Arabidopsis thaliana: one gene and its partners. The protein of the gene in region 1 interacts with the protein of each later gene in a pairwise test. Each region holds a gene or a part of one and is shown in the gene's direction. Other genes may lie near its edges.

The links.
Region 2: the proteins of AT4G33945 (region 1) and TRFL9 interact in a protein complementation assay, tested with the Arabidopsis thaliana proteins (one study listed by BioGRID).
Region 3: the proteins of AT4G33945 (region 1) and TRFL2 interact in a two-hybrid assay, tested with the Arabidopsis thaliana proteins (one study listed by BioGRID).
Region 4: the proteins of AT4G33945 (region 1) and TRP1 interact in a two-hybrid assay, tested with the Arabidopsis thaliana proteins (one study listed by BioGRID).

The regions. Positions count from the first base shown.
Region 1 is NC_003075.7:16,266,063-16,271,455, forward strand, and holds AT4G33945 (ARM repeat superfamily protein), read left to right. Parts: upstream 1-1,821; 5' UTR 1,822-2,056; coding exon 2,057-2,192; intron 2,193-2,290; coding exon 2,291-2,602; intron 2,603-2,682; coding exon 2,683-2,966; intron 2,967-3,139; coding exon 3,140-3,268; intron 3,269-3,354; coding exon 3,355-3,477; intron 3,478-3,729; coding exon 3,730-3,837; intron 3,838-4,055; coding exon 4,056-4,234; intron 4,235-4,328; coding exon 4,329-4,452; 3' UTR 4,453-4,863; downstream 4,864-5,393. Other genes in the region: AT4G33940 (RING/U-box superfamily protein), read left to right, coding at 23-305, 600-796, 923-1,021, 1,231-1,282, 1,393-1,550.
Region 2 is NC_003074.8:3,981,340-3,987,419, reverse strand, and holds TRFL9 (TRF-like 9), read left to right. Parts: upstream 1-1,794; 5' UTR 1,795-2,137; intron 2,138-2,515; exon of another isoform or gene 2,516-2,552; 5' UTR 2,553-2,571; coding exon 2,572-2,652; intron 2,653-2,724; coding exon 2,725-3,439; intron 3,440-3,530; coding exon 3,531-3,704; intron 3,705-3,867; coding exon 3,868-3,947; intron 3,948-4,049; coding exon 4,050-4,285; intron 4,286-4,394; coding exon 4,395-4,700; intron 4,701-4,794; coding exon 4,795-4,858; intron 4,859-4,944; coding exon 4,945-5,148; 3' UTR 5,149-5,540; downstream 5,541-6,080. Other genes in the region: FDM3 (XH/XS domain-containing protein), read right to left, coding at 6,048-6,080. UniProt on the Arabidopsis thaliana protein: Binds specifically to the plant telomeric double-stranded DNA sequences. At least 2 repeats of telomeric sequences are required for binding. Induces DNA bending.
Region 3 is NC_003070.9:2,317,642-2,323,514, reverse strand, and holds TRFL2 (TRF-like 2), read left to right. Parts: upstream 1-1,850; 5' UTR 1,851-2,000; exon of another isoform or gene 2,001-2,133; intron 2,134-2,405; 5' UTR 2,406-2,466; coding exon 2,467-2,547; intron 2,548-2,647; coding exon 2,648-3,386; intron 3,387-3,476; coding exon 3,477-3,641; intron 3,642-3,725; coding exon 3,726-3,800; intron 3,801-3,885; coding exon 3,886-3,965; intron 3,966-4,053; coding exon 4,054-4,295; intron 4,296-4,394; coding exon 4,395-4,661; intron 4,662-4,759; coding exon 4,760-4,823; intron 4,824-4,902; coding exon 4,903-5,082; 3' UTR 5,083-5,372; downstream 5,373-5,873. Other genes in the region: AT1G07550 (Leucine-rich repeat protein kinase family protein), read left to right, coding at 100-286, 401-806. UniProt on the Arabidopsis thaliana protein: Binds specifically to the plant telomeric double-stranded DNA sequences. At least 6 repeats of telomeric sequences are required for binding.
Region 4 is NC_003076.8:23,965,428-23,971,496, forward strand, and holds TRP1 (telomeric repeat binding protein 1), read left to right. Parts: upstream 1-1,789; 5' UTR 1,790-2,150; intron 2,151-2,183; exon of another isoform or gene 2,184-2,252; intron 2,253-2,447; exon of another isoform or gene 2,448-2,720; 5' UTR 2,721-2,826; coding exon 2,827-2,910; intron 2,911-3,004; coding exon 3,005-3,620; intron 3,621-3,710; coding exon 3,711-3,839; intron 3,840-3,932; coding exon 3,933-3,980; intron 3,981-4,065; coding exon 4,066-4,145; intron 4,146-4,217; coding exon 4,218-4,408; intron 4,409-4,495; coding exon 4,496-4,816; intron 4,817-4,908; coding exon 4,909-4,972; intron 4,973-5,064; coding exon 5,065-5,268; 3' UTR 5,269-5,283; coding exon of another isoform or gene 5,284-5,326; 3' UTR 5,327-5,569; downstream 5,570-6,069. Other genes in the region: ZEU1 (P-loop containing nucleoside triphosphate hydrolases superfamily protein), read left to right, coding at 5,970-5,975. UniProt on the Arabidopsis thaliana protein: Binds specifically to the plant telomeric double-stranded DNA sequences 5'-GGTTTAG-3'. At least 4 repeats of telomeric sequences are required for binding. Induces DNA bending.

The DNA.
Region 1 (5,393 bases):
GAAGAAGGTTTCGGAAGTAAATATGTCTTCCTTGGGGAGCAGCAAATCCCTGAGGGATGAGATGGAGGTAACAACCGCCGATGTTTTTCCGGAGGTTAACGCCGCCGCTGTGACGGAAAATCTTGATCGGAACGAGCTTGTGCTTGCTGACGGAGTCGTGTCGGCTGAGGAAAGGAATATTGAGCCAGACAATCGTGGAGAGAGGAAGATAGAGAGCGAGTCGCCTCCAGAGGATGATGTTTGCCCGATCTGTTTCGGCTCCTTTACGGTTCCGTGTCGTGGAAATTGTGGTCATTGGTATTGCGGTTAGTCTTTTCATCTTTCTTCTTCTTCTTGATTCTCTTGAGCCATTTCATCTACATTGAAGTATCAAGCTTGTGTCTTTTTGGGATATTTCTGTTCGTCAGAGGTAAATTTGGAGAATTGTTTGGGTTGGAATTGGTTTAGGGTTCCTTTTGGTAGCCAAGAATGATTTATCACAACTGATTAACTTTTGAAAGTGTTGATTTTTAAACCATGCTCTGTTACTATGGAGTGTTGTTTGCAATGTCATAAAAAGATCTGAAAGTTTCTTAAACCGGTTGCTGATTTTGTTACAGGAAATTGCATCTTGCAGTACTGGAACTATGCTGCAATATCTAGGCCTTGCAAGTGTCCCATGTGTGTTAGGCACATCACGAAGCTGTCACCAGAACCATCTTTGCAAGAGCGTCAGGAGCAAGAGGTGAAGGAGGTTCTTGATAAAGTCCGTAGGTATAACCGTCTCTTTGTTGGAGGTCTAACTGGCTTTGTTCAGGTACGGTCTTTTTGATTCATGATTTTGTTTTGCTTCTCTTTACTGTTTCATGCATTTCTTATCTATGTATATACTTATTTCTCCTTTTTATGACTTGGCAAAACCACCATCTTTCGAATAATTCAGAAGGTGCATGAGCTTCCGTTTCTAGTGAAGAGAATGGTGTGGCATATGATGGATACAGATGTGAACAATCTGTATTTTCACGAAGTGCGCATCTTTGCAGTTAAGAACATCTTACCCTGAAATTTACATTTCATAGTTTAGTGTTTAGTTATATCTCTACCCACTTATTCTTGTTGTCATTTGTTGTCTGTACTAATGGCCAAGCAAGACAATCTTTGTAATCATCATAGGAGCAACTAGTTTGTATTTATTCTTGTTTTTAAAGGCCATTGAAAGATGAGAAACTAAGTTTCTGTCGGTGTTTGCAGATGTTCATGAGTACCCTTTACACTGCCGCAGAGTTTAACTTCATTCCAACGGGTAAGTTGCCTCACAAATCAAAAACCAGCAATGAAGGGTTAAACAATCTCAATGTGGTGTGTTTAAGGCTTTTAAGCTTTCCAAGATTGATTTTGCCCTCTTTTGTACAGGCGGGTTCAGAATAGTGACAGTTTTTGACTACGCTGCGATTGCTATGATCCTGATTCTACGCTTAGTAGGGATATATCGGAGGAGACGCCTAGCTCAGCAGGTTAGACATCTAGCAGCTGCAGCAATTGAGCCGGAATTAGAGCAAAGGGAATTGTAACAGACACGTGAATCTATTAAGTCTTGTGCAGTTTGATCCTTGTGGATAAGTTTGGTAGTAGATCATAGAAACCTCGAGAGTCGTGTGCAGTTTTACAGACAATGATATTGCAGACTTTAAAAGTATATACATATCTCCTTTTCTAACAGTGGAAATAAAATATTGATTGGAAAAGATCTCTCTGGAAAAGGATCTTAATCTTTGATTAGATGATCAAAGGGTTGAACAAATGTTCGAAGAGTAGAAGTGGATATTCTAAAAGACGAGTGATGAGTGATTTAAAGATTCAAAAATTTCATAATTATCTGAAATAAAATGATGGTAGAAGAAAGAAACAGTGCCTGTGGTCTCGAAACAGTGAAACGACATCGTTTTAATTTCAAAAAGACACCGTTTCTGTTTTAATTAATTGCTTTCAAATCAGTAGAAGAAGAAACATCGATTGAGCTTTCTACTTGAAAACCATCTTTTCCGATCTATCGAATCGGAGCGGCGAAGGAAGGAGAATGGGTGTCCGTACAATATCTCAGGAGGCATTCGACGATCTGGTTAGGGAAAATGTTGAAGATCTTGGTATGGATCCCTCCGAAGCTCTCGAAGACGCTCTCTACACTCTCAAGCTCCAAGGCGTCGATCTCTTTGGTCCGTTTACATTCTCTCCTCTCTTTTTACTTTCTCCAGAAATTGGCCTTCCTCTCGAACTGGCGTTAGTTCAATTTGTGTGTTTGTTTATGGTACAGGGATCATTACATGTGTTCCTGGAGAAAGTAGCGTTAAGGACAATCCGGTGATTGCTTGTTTAGATAGACTAAAAGAATTCGACAGTGTTTCAATAGACGGACCTCTTCGAGATGAGGTTTTCGATGAGATATCGAGTTTGTTCAAGAATCTCAATGAGCTTTGTAGCAGCCAAGAATCAGGGAACGCTGCAATTGCGACAAAACATGGTGCTGTGGATTTAACTTGCTCGATTTGTTCCAAAATCAAGATATCTACTAGAAGTAATCGTGTTCTTGTTCCTTGCTTTAAGGCTTTGGCTGTGTTGATCCGTGGTATGACTTCTGTTCTTGAATTAGTCGTTCTTGTGTGTTTTAACTTTGATTTGTGTTGATCATGTGTTATTCAATTGCAGACATTCAGAGCACAGAGAGATTCAGGAATTGTACTGGACCAAATATCGTTGTTGATCTCTTAAATGATTCCAGCTCCGATTCTGATTTGTTAGATGCTGGTTTTGCGGTTGTTGCTGCTGCAGCAACTGGTAATGAAGTTGTGAAACAGTTATTCATGGAACTGAAAATCGATGAACTTATTCTGCAAGTGTTGAATAGAGAGAGTAAAACTACCATTAGAGCTCTGTACGATGCTATTTGTGCTCTTTTGACTCCAGATGACTTCCGTGTTGTTGCTTCCCAAGTAAGTATGGTTACATTCGTTTGGTATATGCCACTTTTGACTGCGGGAATGAAATTAAGGGAAAACAGCTATATAGCACTTAGCAAACATTTATAATCGTTGTTTTTTGTGCTTATTCATGGACATGCTTTGAGAATTCAAATCCACTAGACTTTTGCTTCCATGTGTTTCAGGTTTATGGTTATGCACGAACTTTTGCCAAATTAGGGATTGCGACAGCCCTCACTGAAGCATTACAGGCAGGGATTGGCTCTGATAGTTTGGTGTCAGCAAGTACTGCGTTAAAAGCAATTGCTGTCAATGTAAGTCTCCTAGTTGAAATCTCTGTGTGATAACATTTATCTGGTTAGGTTCTTGCAAGTTCTTCATCTGGTTTTGCTGTAAACAGGATGAAATATGTAAATCTATTGCTGAATCCGGTGGAATAGATACACTTCTTCGGTGTATTGATGATAGCGGTGAGCAAGGCAACAAAACTGCTGCTAAGACATGTTGTTCCCTGTTGTCTAAGGTGAGTAGCTTCTAATATGCCCTGCAGGCTGCCTCTGTTGTCTTCATTGCCTTTGGTTATTCAAAATCCTTCTTTAAAACTCAGGCTTTCAAGTATTTTCCGCACCATATTAAGGAGTAGCTTATGTTCATGTGCTTCTAATAAATGCATGTTCTCAAATTTTAAGCTTTTCCAAAGCCTATTACTGATTTAGATTAGCATTGTAACCACGCATGATAAATGTTTATCTAAAATTTGTATTTTGATCTCTAGTTGGCAGGAAGTGACTCTAACAAGAGTACCATAGTTGAGAAGCAAGGTCTGGACAAGCTAATCACACTCGCACTACGATTCTCTGATGATCCTCTAGTCATACAAGAGGTAAGTATATAAACCAAACGAAAACCCTCTTATGACACTATGTCCCATGCGCAATTTTAAATCTTCCTGTCTAGAGAAGATACTTGTGACTACAGGTCACGTCTTTGGCAGTTTTCCACTAGATAGAACGTAATGTCGTGTGAAGAATGTTTCTTGTAGCATTAGGGTCTGAGTGCATAATCCTTGTGGTTGATCCAAGATATACTTGATTGGTTCAGGTGATGTTGATAATCTCTATAATCTGTCTGAGATCACCAGACCACGCAGCCAAGGCTATAGAAGCTGGAGCTGGTGATCTAGCGGTCCAAGCAATGAAGAGGTTCCCAGTAGCTGCTCAAATGCAGAGAAACGCTTGCAACATGATACGGAACATTGCTGTCAGAAGTGCAGAGAACAGGTTTTTGCTCTGTTTCCAATTCTTGTCATCCAACAATATGCACATATCGCAAACTCTTTTATAATATCAAGTTCTGTCTGCATGCACACTACAGAACTATTCTGCTTGCTAATGGAATCGAGAAGCTGATAAGAACTGCTAAAGCCAACAATGAGACATGCAGAGCCGCTGCAACTGATGCACTGAGAGACCTTGGCCTTGATAACTACAATAACTAAGGTCAATCTTTCTCCATTGGTTGGTACTCGCAACAACCGGAATGAATCCAGTTTTTTTTTTCAAAAATTTCATAAACAGTTTGCATTGAGTTCTCTCTTTTGGGTAGAAGGCATTCCGATCTAGTCTTTTTTGCAACGATTGCTTTTGTTCGAATGCTTGAACATGTAGTAAAATTGAAAGGAATTGATTGAAAATTTCGGTGAAAGGTACTCTAAATAGTAAAAAAGTAAATAGAGAAACAGAGGCTTCACAATGAGAAATTTTCATTCATTCACTAAAATCATTCGTTTAGTCAATGAATTTCCTTTATTTAGAAGAAATCGATTTTAGTTTGAAACAAGGACAAAATGTTTGTTTGACTAAAGGGAAGAGAAACAAAGACAAAATGTTCACGTCCATGGAATGATCGAGCTCTAGAAGAGTGTATTGGGAATATTAAGTACGGATATATGTTTTTAAAAGATGATTAAAAAAAAAGTTTGCAGCAAAATCGTCATGTGGATGCGCATAAACAAAAACTTTAGATAGTAAAAATGATGGGCTATAGTGATGATGAGTGCAACTCTATCGGTTTCAGCTTTTAGGTGAAGATCTGACAAGCTAGCCAACAATATCTCGACATTTGTGGTAACTTGTTTTTCTTTTATTTTCCGTTTTTAAATGCGGAAACCCTTTTTATATACCGAAATAGAAAGTAAATCTTTTTAGTGGTCATTAATACATGGAGGTTCCCATGATTAGCCATAAGCTTGTTTAATGCGAGTATATGTTTCATCAGCTCCGTTTCAGGACATATTTAAGGGGCAAAATTAATCCAGTAGCCAAAAATGTACATATGTAAGGGACATATTACGATATTAATATATAGATCCACTAACAGAAAAACTAATTGTTAATTTAAATTATTTCTATTTCATTTTTCACTGTGTTTGATTAAATT
Region 2 (6,080 bases), on another chromosome or scaffold:
TCTCTCTATAGTCTATAATAGGTTAGTAACGATGTATAATTGACTCAAATATAAGACCGTGTCGGTAGGTGATTTGACTAAATCAATGTTCGCACAATTCTTTAATCCACAAGCAAACTTTTATAGCTTGTGACACTTACTTAATACGTTCAAATTGTAGTTCTATCTTAAAAATTTCATGAATACAAAAGTCACATAAATGAATAGAAAGGGAAAAAACTTGTATAACTATATTAACACGCTCATCTTAAAATTCGATAAAATAAAAAATTTAGCAAAGTAACTCAGAATTAAATTTATTAAATAAACATTAAAGTAAGAAATACTGTTATAAAACTATTCTCCTTATTTGGCACCACACGTTTTCAAGGTTCTAACATACAAAAGCATAATAAAACTATATGGGTTTATTGAAAAAATCTTTAAGCTCCATACTCCATGTTGAATTTCCGTAGACCCCTTTTGATGCTTCGTCTTTTTTCTTTATAGAATGTCGTTGTTGTCCCTTTGTGCCTTGATGCTTAACCATGCAACCGCGCAAGATATATATATATATATATATATCTTGCCTTCTAATTCTCTTTTCTTTTCTTTTTCTTCTAAATTTGGCCTTTTTAAATAAATCCACTTACCTACCTATGAATCCAGTATATCAACAAATCGTACGAAAATGTACCAATTAGAGATTTCAATATGATTGAAGTGCATGCAGCATGTGTATATGTTTTTATATAAAGCGAAAGAAATGCATGTGTATTTCAGTATTTGTTTAGTACAAACTACAAACTAAAAGTGAAACGAGCTAGGATACAACAAGATCTATATATGAATTTTTGAAATATTTCATGCATGCATACATTCTCCCAATATATAACGTCTAATTATTATAAAACTGTAATCAACGATGGTTTACATACTAATCATGAATTCAGTGAAAGCTTTATTAGAGAAGGAACATAGAATGATTAGTCCATGTTTGTGGAGAATGTATGTAGTATGCCTGATCATTTTCCTTGTACCTCTTCCAATAGAATGGTCCGATCCGACCCATTTACTAATCGTCATGCGGCCCATATTCATGAATGGTTATAATTTACAAGGGTCCAAGTCTCCAAGGCCAGCCACAGAAGTAGACAGACACTCTCAGAAGTCCAAGACGGACATAATTAAACAAACAATTCGATTCAACAGCCGGCCATAAATTTATGTTTGATTCAACCCATTTCGATTCTCATTACATTAATTAGCCAAGCATATGCTTTAGTAGTTTAGTCCCACTAAAATAGCCATAAGATTGGCGCGAACATTGTCATTCACAAAATACCTTAAAACACATAACACGTTCATTTTGGCCCCATTAGCACATGCTTCAACATGTAATCTCATCAAGAAATTCATGTTATCACTCAAGTTGAATGAACACTTAAAAAACCTTGTGACGACGTTATTACCAAAGCAATGGAGTTGTCACAGGCTTTCTCTACCCACGTGGAAGATAAAGACAGCTTTTGTAGTACTAGTATATTAAAAAGGACCCCACTCCAATCACAAACAGCACTGTTGTATTGTTTTTATCCGATCCCTAAAATAAAGATTCTTCTGACAAACCTATCTTCTTTAAGGGGTTATGAACTGATGATTCCCGGAGAGAGAGGGTTACCATCAATAGCCTGTTAACCGGAGAGAGGGGTTTTAGTGTTTTACCATAAATTTACAAGGGTGACCGTCAATAGCCGGTTTACCGGTTTACAACAACTGCCTCATCTCAAACCCGTTGTTATTTGTGTGGTCAATAAAAACTTTTTTAATTTATTTTAATTTACAAGAATGATTATAAAAAAAGGGGTTTCTGTTTCAATGGGGCTTTTCACGTCATCTTCCTTCTTTCTTTTCTAAAGACAACGACGGATTCTTACCGCAACACACACAAAAAAAAAATAACTCGAGAATTCTTCATTTCTTTTAAATCTTAGAATCTCGAGTTTTTGTATAAATCGATTCTAATTTTTCCTTTGTACATTGTTTTATATATACATAAAACACACAAATCGGGTATGGGGGAATTTGGGTTTTAAGATAGCGTGATCTGTAATAATAAGTGGTTCGCGATCGTGATCAAGAAACTGGTGGCTGATAGGTGAGTTTTTTCATCGCAATTGACTTGTTCACTTACCGATCTGTAAAATTCTTGGGGTTTTGGGTGGTTTTTGATCCTTTGACTCTGATCCGGTTTTCAAATTTCCATTAAATTTCTTTGGCGGGTCGAAATAATTTGTTCGAGATCTGATCAGGTTACTGTTTCTTTTCATCTTGTCTCGAATCTTATAATTGAATTTGTAAGCAGCTTCTAGCATTTGAGTCTTGTTCAATTTTACCAACGCTTTTCCATTTGCGTGATCCATTTCTTGTTTCAGTGTCTTTCTTACATCAAAGGCTCGGATTTGGTCGTGTTGATCTGATCTAAATTGGTGTTTACTGTTTATGATTCTTGTTGCTACTTTCTGATTCTTTACAGTGTTCTGTTCTGTTCTGTTTTGTTTTTGTGTTGCTAGTGATATGCATATTTGAGAGATGGTGTTCAAGAGAAAGTTAGATTGCCTTTCCGTGGGATTTGATTTTCCCAACATTCCCAGAGCTCCTCGTTCATGCAGGGTAAATTTTGATTCATCTGGATCTGTTAGCTCAATGTCATGAATTTGCCTTCTGATGAATCTTTTTTTCCAGAGGAAGGTTCTAAACAAGAGGATTGATCATGATGATGATAACACTCAGATCTGTGCAATTGACTTACTAGCTTTGGCTGGAAAGATTCTACAGGAAAGCGAGAGTTCCTCTGCGTCTTCTAATGCATTTGAAGAAATTAAGCAAGAGAAAGTAGAAAATTGCAAGACTATTAAATCTGAGTCTTCTGACCAAGGAAACTCTGTGTCAAAGCCTACTTATGATATCTCTACTGAGAAGTGTGTGGTGAACAGTTGTTTTTCATTTCCGGATAGTGACGGCGTTTTGGAGCGGACTCCGATGTCTGATTACAAGAAGATTCATGGTTTGATGGATGTAGGGTGTGAAAACAAGAATGTAAATAATGGGTTCGAGCAAGGAGAAGCAACCGATCGCGTGGGTGATGGAGGCTTAGTCACTGATACTTGCAACTTAGAGGATGCAACTGCGTTAGGTCTGCAGTTTCCGAAATCAGTCTGTGTGGGTGGTGATTTAAAATCACCATCCACCTTGGATATGACCCCTAATGGTTCCTATGCTAGACATGGGAACCATACTAACCTAGGTAGAAAAGATGATGATGAAAAATTCTATAGTTACCATAAACTTAGCAATAAATTTAAGTCGTATAGGTCTCCAACAATTCGAAGAATAAGAAAGTCCATGTCGTCCAAATACTGGAAACAAGTTCCAAAAGATTTTGGATACAGTAGAGCTGGTAAGTATAACACAGCCTGCTTCACTTATCTTTGAACACATTTCTTCTTTTTGTGATTCACCCTGTTCTTACTTTAAACATGGATGTCTAGATGTGGGTGTGAAGACTCTTTATCGCAAAAGAAAATCATGTTATGGTTACAACGCATGGCAGCGTGAGATCATTTATAAGAGAAGAAGATCACCTGACAGAAGCTCGGTCGTAACTTCTGATGGAGGACTCAGTAGTGGAAGTGTTTCCAAGTTACCCAAGAAGGGAGATACAGGTGGTTATTGTAGTCTATCTCAAAACTCTTCAGTTATCTTATCTTAGCTGTTGTGGTCCTCTCAAAAGGCTCCCATGGTACTTGACTGGATGGTAAATGATACTGAGACATTTATCCGGAGACAGGATAATGTGGTTCTCATGTATTTTTATCTCTGGTGCAGTAAAGCTAAGCATTAAGTCCTTTAGGATTCCAGAGCTTTTTATTGAAGTTCCAGAAACTGCAACAGTAGGATCACTAAAGGTATATGCCAATATGTATTTCTTCACATTTGTTTGGTTCTCTTGTGTGGACATTGAGGTGTTAACAAATTACCATTTTGCTCTTTGACCCTTTTGGTTGCAGAGGACTGTGATGGAGGCTGTCAGTGTTTTACTCAGCGGAGGAATACGTGTTGGGGTGTTAATGCATGGGAAGAAGGTTAGAGATGAAAGGAAAACTCTGTCCCAGACTGGGATCTCATGTGATGAAAATCTAGACAACCTTGGGTTCACCTTGGAGCCTAGTCCCAGCAAAGTTCCCCTACCTTTGTGTTCTGAAGATCCTGCTGTGCCAACCGACCCTACAAGTTTGTCTGAACGGTACTAAGAAATTCGCTATCATATCCTTGTGCTGCTTTAGTTGAATATCACTGGTGTTCATTCTTCTTGAAGATTCCTAAGCAAAAGCGGTTCTGAATTATCATCCCAGGTCTGCGGCGTCTCCTATGCTAGATTCTGGAATTCCACATGCAGATGACGTGATTGATTCAAGAAATATTGTGGACAGTAACCTCGAATTAGTTCCATATCAGGGTGACATATCTGTTGATGAACCTTCATCAGATTCAAAAGAGCTTGTCCCACTTCCAGAGTTGGAAGTCAAGGCGCTTGCCATAGTTCCGTTGAACCAGAAACCTAAGCGTACTGAGCTAGCCCAGAGGAGAACTAGGAGACCCTTCTCTGTGACAGAGGTAGAAGCTCTTGTACAAGCAGTTGAGGAACTCGGGACTGGAAGGTATATAACACTAGTTCTTTCATAACTCATGTAGTTTGGTCGTGGGATAATGTCAAAGCTCAAAAGCTAATGGTCGATATATCTGATCACACAGATGGCGTGATGTAAAATTGCGTGCTTTCGAGGATGCAGATCATCGGACTTACGTGGACTTGAAGGTAAACACATCAGACACAAACATGTAATCTGGAACATATCACGTCTTACAGTCAGGTTAATATCTCAAGAACATGTGAATATGCAGGACAAATGGAAGACGCTAGTTCACACAGCAAGTATATCCCCACAGCAACGAAGAGGAGAGCCGGTGCCACAAGAACTGCTAGACAGAGTCTTGAGGGCATACGGGTATTGGTCGCAGCACCAAGGAAAACATCAGGCGAGAGGAGCGTCCAAAGATCCAGACATGAACAGAGGTGGAGCTTTTGAATCAGGTGTTTCAGTGTAAAAAAGGAGGTACGCATTGGTGGGTGGGTGTACAGAAGCAAACAACACAATAAATGGACAACTCAATTTCTGCAAAGTTTAATTGTCTTTATTTCTCGTTTTTTTTTTTCTCCTACATACACTTTTTTTTTCCTTGCTTTGGCATCTGTAAATGACTCCAACTGGGATGAGATTCGTCCCTAACCAAATTTTTAGGTTCTATCTTTGTTTTTTCAACATTGATTACATTGTGTAATAATTTCGGTCCATAAAAAGGGATCTTGTAATTTTATACATTCTTTTATGTTCTATCCTTTCTGACAAGTGACAGGTCAAACCTTCTTCATTATTTCGTTCAATTTTTTTAATTTTTTTTCAATAAAACACATGAGAGATGAGAGTGATATTGTGACAGATATCTTTGACAAAATGTGAATAACCCAATTTGAAAGATAAGAAATACTGCTGCTCTGTGATTTTGGAATATTAGACACAGTTAAGTGTTTGTTATTGGTGGAAAGACTCTTAACTAAGCCAAAGTGTTCATTTCTTCACAAATTCATAAACTTCTCTAAGGTTTAGAATCATCTAACAATGTTTGTTACTTAGTTTCCTACAATGTTGAACCGTCAAGTGTAGAAACATAGTTTCAACTTCGAGTCCCAATGTGACGCCATCCTCCTCTAATTTACACCTACTTCGCAATTCTAAGACCCATATATTGCATCAAAGACGAGAGACAATTGTTGAACCTTGCATTTTGACATCCTTTACACGCTAAACTTATTTTCCATCTCCTGCAACTTGCAAAGTACAGACCTCAGATTAGCAAAATTCGAAAATACAACTATGTAAGCAAAGAGGCAAACTTCCAAAGAGCTGGGATTTTTGAGTGTACCGGGTAAATGCAAATATAAACCTTTATGACTTGAGATGCTTCGCTTGATTCCATTG
Region 3 (5,873 bases), on another chromosome or scaffold:
AAATATTATTATATATAGTTTAAGCTGATATATATAAATTCTCTCTTAAACTCCATATTTATGATAATTAGTTAACATACGAGGTTTAACATATGGTAGGAATTGAGTATTTGCATACTGGATGCAAGCCAAAAATCGTTCATAGAGATGTCAAAAGTACTAATATATTGTTGAGTGAAGAATTTGAGGCCAAAATTGCTGATTTCGGACTCTCAAGATCCTTCCTAATAGGAAATGAAGCTCAACCTACGGTTGTTGCTGGAACATTTGGATATCTTGATCCGGAGTAAGTAGTGGAGGATTTATATCACATTGTACATTTAAACATGCATGTCTTCGATCGATTTTCTTGCTTTCTGAAAAAAAAAGTGAACCATATCTTTAAAATCTTTTGTTATAGGTACCACAAAACCAGCTTGTTAAGCATGAAGAGTGATGTATATAGCTTTGGGGTTGTCTTACTGGAAATCATCAGCGGCCAAGATGTGATTGATTTATCCCGTGAAAATTGTAACATAGTGGAATGGACCAGTTTTATACTCGAAAATGGTGATATTGAAAGTATAGTGGATCCAAACCTCCATCAAGATTATGACACAAGTTCTGCATGGAAAGTTGTTGAATTGGCAATGTCATGTGTGAACCGTACTTCCAAAGAGAGACCAAACATGTCTCAGGTCGTTCATGTGCTAAACGAATGTTTGGAAACATGTGAAAAGTGGAGAAAAAGCCAAGAGGTGGACTTAAGCAGTCCTCTGGAACTGAGCATAGTTGTAGACACCGAAATAAACCCAAAGGCACGTTAGTCATTATTCTCATGGTTGGGTGTATAATGATCAGTCTGTATAATTTGTATTATGAAGCGTCTATTGCACAATTTGGGTGTTAAGTCTGTATGTTGAACGTGTTGATACTTAATAGCTTCTTCTTGTGCTATCGAAAGTTGAAAGTACTCTTTTAATTATACAAGAAGAATATCCACTCATACAGATATTTGTGATTTTATTCGGTTTAAAGAATCTGTTTATGCGGTTCGGTTTTTTCGGTGGGCTTGGAAATTCACTGGGTTTTTATTTTGTGGGCCGAAAGTGTAGGCTGTGGTGTAGAAATGTTATTTTTTGGGCTGTAGGAACTTTGTAAGCCCAAGAAGAAATCCTAATTTCATCTTCTTGAAACACGTGTTCTTTGTCCTTCGCGATTTCGATGCTACCGACAGAGAAGAAGAAGAAGAAGACGAGCTTCACTTCGGTATTTACTCTCAGATCCATCGTTCCGTTCAAAGTTTCCAGCATTTAGAAGGACTATTCAATTCGGATTCTCGGCAGGTTGGGAAAGAACTGAAGAACCGTTCGGTTCAGTGATGCCAAAGTATATTTGAAGCATTGCCGATCGGTTGATAGCTGCAAACCGAATTGATCGATCGGTTAGGTTAATTAGGTTTAGGTTAAAGTATTTTGCATCAGAAAATAGATAGGGTTCTCAATGAAAACAAATTTGTTATTATAAAATAAAATAGAAGAAGAAAAACTGAAAAAGACAAAATAAAATAAACAGGAGAATGACATGGCTTGGACTGAAAGGAAAAAAAAAACATTACATGGCATGTGTGACTCAACGTTATTGTCGAAGTTTGTGTGTTGTAAAAAAAGCCGGACGATCCGACAGAGACAACACGTGGCCGAATCAGGGGGAAGTACGTGAGACAGTGGTGGTGACCCAAGAAGGGAGAAGAAGAACAGGTCTTCAGGGTGGGGTTTACTGGTTATAGCCGGTTATTCGCTCTTCTTCTTTTTTCAGACACGTCCTCTGTGTTACTACTCTCGTATAAGACCAGGGGTTTAAGCCCTTGTCTCCTTCCGTGCTTTTTTCCCACATTAAGGGGTTTTTCGATTTCCCACAACAAAAAATAAATAATAAGACAGAAACTTTTTTGCTTTGTGTGGGTTGATGAGAAAATAAGATCATAAACATTCTGATCTCACCTTGTTTCAGAAGAAAAGGTGAGATTATTTTTGAAGTTTTTTTGGATCTGCAATTTGAATTGCGGTTTTTTATGTTTATAGTTTTCTAGCTTGAGGGTTTTTTGATGTTGTAATTTGGTTTCTCACAGAAGCTGAACCGTGTTTGTTTTTCATGAAAATATTACAAGACCAGAATTGTTCATTATTTTTCTTGGTAAATTCATGCTCTGTTTTCACTCTACGGTCATTAATCAAATGAGGCTTTAGATCGTGGAAATTTCAATAACTTGGATTCTAGCTAGGGTTTTACAAAAAATGATGTCTGAAATTGGAAATAATCTGCTATCACATATACAGTATGTGAGATTTTCTTGCAACGTAAGAAATTTTATAGATAAATGCTAATACATTGTTGGACTCAGTAACCTAATTGTTTTTCTCCAGGGATCTTGTAATCCGTGAGAATGCCTTCGTTTTGTTGAATGATTGAAATGTTCTTCAAATCATGGTGTTGCAAAAGAGGCCCGATTATGGATTCAATGGCTATGAGGTGCCTCACACACCTCGAGCTGCCAGATCACCAAGAGTAAATACAATTCTTAACTTTTTTGTGTGTTTCTTATCAGTTTTATATATGTTCTAATGTTCCCTTCTGATATATATGTTTGTGTTTTGTGTTTTGCTAGAAGAGTGCTTTCAAGAAGAAAAGCGAAAACCATCAAATATCGTCTTTCGATTTGTTGGCTGCAGTAGCTGGAAAACTGCTGCTTGAAGGTGGGAATTCTTCTTCCTCAAGTAACAATACCTCTGGTAATAATGAAGATCAGTGTGCAGTTAAGAAAGAGCCGCTTAACGGCGGCGATATAATGGTGGAAGAAGAGACTACAAATTCTGATCATGATAATAATAATGCTGAACGGAGTTTCTTTGTCTCTGAGATTCTTCAAAAATCTCATGAAATGCAAAGCTTTAATAGATCTCCAAGTCCCCTTAAAGAGTTCCATTTTGGATCTTCTTCTGGTATAACTTCTGATTCCTCTGAGAAGTTTGAAACTCAAGAATTGGCGTATGATGAATCCAAGATCAATAATGGTGATTGCTATAGGTCAGAGTCTAATGATAAGAAATCAATGCTTGGAGGGTTAAATTTTGAAGCAAAGTTATCAAGGAATGTTGTAGGTAAGGATGAGAAACATATAGGTAGTGGATTCAGGAAACCTATTCCCCAAAATCCTTCAACATGCTCCGATGATGTAGATTTACACGGTAAGGAAAATGATGATGGCGAAAACTTCTCAGCCTGTTACAGAACAAAATCATTTAGGTCAACTCTGCGTATTGGAGATAGAAGAATAAGGAAAGTTTGGGCTTCCAAGTATTGTAAAGTCCCTCCAAAGCTGAAAGATACAACAGTAACTAATTCAGGTGAACATTATGGACCATTTGTGAGCAAGTCATATGTACTTTTCAAGATGTTATGGTTTATTTATGTGTCTTTGTCTGAAAATGTTTTAGACTTGGACTTGAAGTCTGATTACTATAGCAAGAAACATTGTCTTAAAAGCTTAAGATCAGAGAGGAACTATCCAATAAAGAAAAGGAGATACTTTGATGGTTATACAGCATCACAATCCGAGGAAACAAATAAAAATGAAGGCCAGTCTGGTTCACCTCGAAAGGGTATATTATCGGAAGCTAGTCATTTAACGTCAAAAATCACTTTACGATGATATAGTGATTAACTTTGAACTTTGTTTTTGGCAGCTTCAGCTTTTCTATCATCCATAGCTTGTCAGAAGCAGCCTGCAGCATTCCAATCACCAAGAGATTCTAATAACGGTATCTATTTCTATTGAGGTTTTTTGTTATTTTTACCAATCAGATTTTTGTATTAATTCTGTTCATTTTTTCTTGTTGTGCTTAGTGAAACTTGGAATCAAGTCATTTAGAGTCCCTGAACTTTTCATTGAAATTCCAGAGACAGCTACTGTCGGTTCGCTAAAGGTTAGGATTTTTCGGCTTATAATTTTCTGGAAGGATCTCCTTCATGTTTATGGATAATGATTGATGAAACTTTACTTCTTCTCGCTAGAGGACAGTGTTGGAAGCTGTGACCTCGATACTTGGAGGTGGATTACGCATAGGTGTTCTGGTTCATGGGAAAAAGGTTAGAGACGACAGTAAAATGCTTCTACAGACTGGACTCTCTCTAGACACTCTTTCAGACACTTTAGGGTTTTGTCTTGAGCCAAATCCTCCACAATCCACAAAACCACTATCTCCTGAAGATTCTGACTTTGCACGTCCCTGTAATGTACCTCACACTCTAACAAGGTCAGTCTCTATCCAGAGGTCAATGTATGCTGCTTCTTTCTTTAGTGTAGAGAAGAACTCTGTTTCTGATGTTTTCCAAAACTTTTTTGACATCATTAGGTGTCTCCCATCACCAGGGAAGCATGCTAAACCGAGTAACTCTGTAGAAAGTGACCTTGACTCCAAACCCTCTGCACCAAATAGGGGTAAAACCATCTACTCGAGAGCCTTGATTCCTGTATCTCCTCTGCATGCTCAGGCGTTGACAGTAGTCCCACCTCGGAAAACCAAGCGATCTGAAGTGGCACAGCGTAGGATCCGTCGACCTTTTTCTGTTGCTGAAGTAGAGGCCCTTGTTCAAGCTGTGGAGAGACTTGGGACCGGAAGGTAACTAAATTTTTTATGTTCACCAAAGTATAAGACTTAATTTCCATCAATAATTGGTTCAAGATAGTTCTAAGATTGTTGTGCATATCTATCTGCAGGTGGCGTGACGTAAAATTGCGAGCTTTTGATAATGCTAAGCACCGTACTTACGTTGATTTGAAGGTAAAATAAAACTCTCTCCTTACAGTGAATGAGGTCTATGTTTCTTGTGCAAGAAGTAACTAATTTTGGGATTGATTAGGACAAATGGAAGACGCTGGTGCACACAGCAAGAATATCACCGCAACAAAGGAGAGGTGAGCCAGTTCCACAGGAGCTCTTAGACCGGGTACTAACGGCTCATGCCTACTGGTCCCAGCAACAGGGGAAACACCAGTTACTAGAGGGACCCCAGCAGCTCGAGACCAGTCTTGGTCTATAGGCCGGGATTAAATATTATCTTCGCAACGTGATAATGGACGTTAGCAGGATAAACCTGGAATTTATTCGTTCATATATACTTTTTTGTTTGTTTGTTTATCTGTTTTATGCATGTATTTGAGAAGATTCAATGTAAAAAAAAAGGAATGGATTGTGTGGTAAAGAAGAAGAAGAAGAAGAAGATATATAGATGAAGATATGTGAAGTCCTATGTAATTGTCACAGTGCTTGGTTGTAATAAGAGGTTTCTTCCTTTTGGTGCCTTGCAAAATTGAGATCCTGATAAGATTCCTTGACAAGAAAAGGTAGAGTTGATAAGGAGAAAAGGAAACATAACATACGTACCAATAATTATTCACTTTGGCTTTTTGTGGTAATAGCTATGCGACTTTTTTCAATGGCTAAACAGACTTTTTTGGACACTTACAGAAGAAAAGAGAATAAGATGGGAGATACTTTAGGATCTCATAGATCAACCGAGAGAAATAAATGAAGTTGTCATTTTCATTATTTCATATCTTTCTCAAAAGTCGACACCTATCGATGAGTAAACTTTTTTGCTAGCATCGTTTGCTATGTGGCTACGAAAGTAAAAAAAATGGATGTGTTCATGAAGCTACGATTAGTCCAATCTTTTAGTGGGAAGCGAAAGTAAGGTGCAATTAATGTAAGAAATTCATGATATTGCTACAGCGAAATTGTCTTGTTCCAAACTTCCAAGCTTAGCACATCGTCTGATCTCTCAATTTTTTCTTTTGTCTTATTTTGCTTTAAAAGTGCAGTATTTTAAAA
Region 4 (6,069 bases), on another chromosome or scaffold:
CATGGAACCTTTTTCGTAACCCACACGAGTTTGGTTTCTATTTTAGACAATTTCGTATATATATATATTTTTTTTTCATAATAATATTTGGCCAAGATATTAAATCCATTCCAATACTAAAAATATCAAGAAATTTCGGATAACAACAAAAATCCAAATTATAATCCTAGTATTGGATTTCCGATTGATGCCCAGTTTAGATGAGAACCAATAAGAAGAAGTAATTCAAATTATTGTATTTATCCTCACAATCGTGAAATCATTATTTAAAATGGACGGGCCAATAGATTTCCATCGATCATGATAAAGCGTTTAATTATTTCAACTTTTATCCTAAAAAAAAACAATAGAAATATTTTATTTCATCTTATCCTTTCTAAGGTGGGTGGTTTTGAAATGTTATCACACACACATCACTGTTCTACGAAAATAATATATAATATATTTATTGAGTTTTACAAATATGTATATCTATATAATATATTGTTTGTTTATTATTATTTACAATTGTAACAAACAAAAAATATCTTATCATCTATAATATATAATTTATTAAATTATAATTCTATAGTATCAGTAGCTAGACAAGAGAACAACATTCGTGCTATATGAAATCATTAGAAAATACACATAGCATTTTGTTCCTAAAATAATTAAACATGTAATCAAAATTTAAATAGTTGTTTGGATTTATGTTTTCAAAGTGAAAATAGACCAATTAACATTCAAAAGCTGGTTGATGCTATTTTTAACGTATACTTAACATTAAAATATTTGTTTTAGTTTTGCCACTCTCGATAATTATCCCTGTCATAGGATGAGGCCCACCTGTTAGGTACATGGGCCCACTGGGACCCAAGATTTCTTATCTCCGAACTTAACGCCGTTTACACATTTCCTTCCAATATACACACACCGAACTAGATGCCGTCAATCCAACGCCGTTTATGGTTTATCCTCCCCTAGACGTTAAGATTTTGACGGTTTGTTTTTATTATCCTACAAAACATAACTGAAAAAGTGTAAAACAGAGACTCATTTGACGTTAGATTCTGCAAGTATCTCTACCGTCCGATTGGAGCAAGTGATCAGAAATATTATTACTAATCAAAAATTGATGAACATGATTTTGAGGGCAATTTTCCTTAAGTAAAAAAATCATAAAGAGACGATAATGATGTACAAAATTATCTAAAACTGAGTATAATTATATAAGCTATAGATTAAGGTATTAAGAAAAGAAAAAAAAAGGTAGATCCACCTGCCACGTGACAGAATGTCGTATAGTTATAGTTTACAGATTATCTCCACTAACCTAAATATTAATTTATATATATAGAATCCATGACTATAGTCTATAGTTGAACTTTTAGATTTAATACTATGAAACCAAACTCAACTCTTTTAAATACTTGAAAATAGATAATTTTAAAATTAATGAGTAAAGATATATTCTTGGTAAAAAAATTAGTGTGTAATTATAACATTCCATATAAAAAATCTTAGATTTCTTCAAAGATAAGAACTAGGAAAATCAAAGTAATTTTTGTAAATTGTTTACTAAAACTGAATAAGAAAATGAAAGTTGCATATATTTTTTTCAAGAATCTGCAAGTAAATAAAGTGTAACTTTAATGAGATGTAATTTTGGTTTGACATGGAATATTCTGATTGGGTAGATTCAGGAGTCATGTGATGATACATCTATGCCACGTGGTAAGATCTGAGGGATTACAAGCAATGTAAAAGCGTGGCGAAGAACCTGGTCTAAAAAGATGAAGGTGTCGACCGATAATAGCCGGTGAAGAGAAAGAGTATAACCGGTAGGACCGGTGGGGAAAAGGTCAATATAGGCTTAAAAAGGGTTTAAGCAAAAAATGTGGTCGTCTTTCTTAAGGGTTTTTGTTTTTGTGGCGTTTCACAGAGAGAGAAAGAAATAGGAGATTGTTTTTGCTTGTGGTGAGAGAAGATCGCATCGTGTGGGTAGCGTTTCAAACAAGTAAAATAATAAAAAGAATAAAAAGTTTCCGTCACTTTCTCGAGGAAGAAGGGGTTTTGGTGTGAGTCCTTTCTTTGCGTTTGTCTTTTCATTTTCCGATCTCGTAATTGTCGTGTTATTCGCCGGAAAAGTTAAAGATTCAGATTTAAAGGTGAGAGATTTTACAGTCATTTTTTTTTTAGTCATCCTGATTCTGTCTTTGAATTTCATAAAACCAAGGAGATTTTCGTTACCTTGGTCTGAAAATCTCTGGGTAAATCCCAATTTTACGTTTTTTTAAAAAAAATTCGTCGATTTTTATCTTTCATCGCTTTATTCTTCGATCTGTAAAATCCGATCTGAGATTTAGAACCCTTTTGAACACCCGTGATCTGGTGGTCCTTTGATCTTGAGATCGAAGTTTTTCGTCCATACGATTATTTTCTTAAATTTTTTTTTATGGTTTAGGGTTTTCCTGTGGTGAAATATTTGGAACGACGGTTTGACTCTCAATTTCAGATCTCAAAGTTGTTTAGGGTTTTAGGGTGGTTTAAGCTTTTTTCAATGGGCTTTGACCCAAAACCTTCAAAATCATTCCTTTTTTTGCTTCATGCATTATTTCCAGAGACAAAACCCTTTTATTCTGTTTTTTTTTTTAAATTTAAAACCATTGGCTATTTTATCTCGTTTTCTTTTGATTTCAATGTCTCTTTCTAATTTGATTTCTCAATTTTATCTACAGGTTGGGAATTACATTCACAGAATTTCGTTGATTGGTGTGATAATAAGCCATTGATCAACAATCTTCTTTTGTGGCAATCACATAATCGTGTTATGCATTCTGAGAAATGGTGTCGCATAAGTGTGTAGAAGAATTTGGATACGCAAGCTACCTGGTACCTTCCAATGCAAGAGCACCCAGATCCGCCCGGGTAATGGCCTTATCACTCATGCGTTTTTTTTAGTTGTATGGAGTTCATTATCAGTTTATATGATTACTTACGTTTGGTTTCATCTTTTGGCCAGAAGAGGCGCAGTATCGAGAAGAGGATAAGTAAAGAAGATGATAATATGTGTGCAATTGATCTATTGGCCACCGTAGCTGGACACTTGTCATTTGAGAGTGGGAGTTCTCTCATGTCTATTGACAAACTGATTGAAGATCATCGTGTAAAGGAGGAATTCCCGGAGGAAGAAAAACCTCTAATGCCAGTAGCTTTATCCCCTTATCGGGGATCTTTGAGTCCCTGCGGATTCAGTTCTGTGATAAATGGCAAAGTAGAGAATGAGGTAGATGGTTTTAGTTACTCTGGTGGTAGTGATGCTTGTCAAGTCGGGAACTTCAGTCAAGATGTAAAACCGGATATCGATGGTGATGCAGTAGTTCTGGATGCGAGACCTAATGTTGTAGTTAGTTTAGGTAGTAGTAGTAGAACCGAAGTGCCATCAATTGGGAACTGTGTTTCCCATGGCGTTCGGGATGATGTAAATTTGTTTAGTAGAGATGATGATGAAAACTTTTCCAAGTACATTCACCCGCGTGTTACAAAACATTCACCTAGGACTGTACCTCGTATTGGGGACAGAAGAATCAGGAAGATATTGGCTTCTAGACATTGGAAAGGAGGTTCAAGGCATTCAGGTAGTAGCCTGCCTAAGGGGTTCTTATCTGTTTCATATCTTAAATACATTTGATGGGTTTTGTTTTAATGACATGTATTTGGTGTTGCAGATACGAAACCGTGGAGAAATTATTACTTGCACCAGCAGAGGAGCTATCCTATCAAGAAAAGGAAAAACTTTGACCACATATCTGATTCCGTTACTGATGATTACCGTATGCGTACTAAGATGCATAGAGGTAAAGAGACTTTTTACGCCTAAACCTCTGTTAGATCTTGTAGCTAGCTTTCTCTTTGTTGTTTTAACTAGATCTTGTAAATTTAATTTGCAGGTAGTAGAAAAGGTCAAGGGGCATCCTTTGTGGCAAGCGACTCCCATGGTAACAATGGAGTCTCATCTGAATTCTTTGTCGGTGTTATTTACTTACAAAAGCGGAGAAGCTAACATGAGAATGTTTATTTCAGTGAAACTACGGATCAAGTCGTTCAGGGTGCCTGAGCTTTTCATAGAGATTCCAGAAACTGCTACTGTTGGCTCATTGAAGGTAACATTACACAGCTCTTCCTTTCGCCTCCTATTAAGAAAGTAAGTTCTTATGGTCCTTTGGCTTCTGCAGAGAATGGTGATGGAAGCAGTGAGCACTTTACTGAGTGATGGACACCGAGTTGGTCTGATGGTTCAGGGGAAGAAAGTCCGTGACGATAACAAAACCCTTCATCAGACTGGTATCTCTCAGGATAACTCCCACCTGGACTCTCTTGATTTTAGCCTTGAACCCAGCTCAGAAATGCCTCAACTGTTAACTAGGTTCAGACTTCTATTCACCACTTAAAACCCGCCACTGTGTTTAATTATTCAAATCTTTTGTGGCTTAATTTCTTATTTGTTTTCCAGTCACCCGTTGGGACATGCTTGTGAGGAGCTGCTACCTGTGTGCCAAGCTACTAAAATAGACAATGTGTTGGAATCTGACCATCATGACTCAGCATTATTCCCATCTGACTCATTAGGCAACAATAATGTGACAGAAGATTCTAAAGCTATGATTTCTGTGGCGCTCAACGAATTGTCTTCTCAATCACAACCACCTTCCCGGAAATCTAGAAGAAGTGAACAGCAGCAGCAGCAGGCTGCACAACGCAGAATTCGTCGACCTTTCTCAGTTGCTGAAGTAGAAGCACTTGTTCAAGCAGTTGAGAAACTCGGTACTGGAAGGTAAAAAAACACTAATACAAGTCATATAGTGTTGGCTTATTTGTGATTGTGAATAGAAGAAGATGATGATTAAAGTTTGGTGAAAACTGTAGGTGGAGAGATGTTAAGCTTTGTGCTTTCGAGGATGCTGACCACCGCACTTACGTAGATCTCAAGGTTTGCATTTTAATCAGTAGTTTAAATTCTAAATTCGGTGAAACCAAATCGCATGATTAGGTCTGAGAAATAACTGTTTGGTATTTGTGCAGGATAAATGGAAAACGCTGGTCCACACGGCTAAGATATCTCCACAACAGAGGAGAGGAGAGCCAGTGCCGCAGGAACTTCTAAACCGAGTCTTGAACGCCCATGGCTACTGGACGCAGCAACAGATGCAGCAGCTGCAGCAGAATGTGAACAAGCTGGAGCAGGAGACACAGTCTCAAACGACAGAGGGTCTGTTACTTCTCTAAATGAATCTGCTGCAGCCTTGGAGGTCGTCTCTCCTTTGTGTATTACTACTACTATTGATGATTATGTAAGATTCTGACATAGATGCAAAGATTTGGTCTTTTACTTTGGTTTGATTTTTTTAACTTTTCTCAATGTAAAGTTTTTAACTGGAATAAGGTTTCTCTGACCAGTTTAGGGCTTTTAGAGGATCTGTTGTACATCTTTTGTGACATTCTCATTCTCTTTACATATTTCTTATCTAGACTTTTTAAAAATTCCTCGTGTGTATAATTATTTGATGTGCTACTTGTCTGATTCCACGAGTTCGAGTTTTGTCGTGTGATTGAATTCGAATTGTCACTTACCAACGTCGTTAATACACTAACACTATGATTGGTCTGATCGCTGGATCGGTGAACCAATTGGAAAATCCAGTTCAAGTTGTTTTAGCAAAAACCAATCTCTTCTCTGAACCGGAAAACTGTAAACCGGTCAGTACTTGATCCATAAGAAACCCTCCGAGTGATTTGAAGGGTTTGAGCTGTGTTGAAAATGGTTCGTCGGCTCTCTCTAAACCCCTCTTTTTGTCGACTGCTTCTTCACGCCGTCGAGGAATTCTTCTCCACCAACGAATCCGGCGACGTCTTATCACCACCTTGTCGAATCTTTAGTTGATGTTGTTTAAAGGTGAGTCCAAATTCCACGCGCCGCCTTGACTTTCATGAATGTGTGTTTTGATACATTTCCTACATATTCCGATGTTTTCTAGCTAGATCTCCAACGATTTTCTGATTGAATTTAGGGTTGGTTACATGATGATC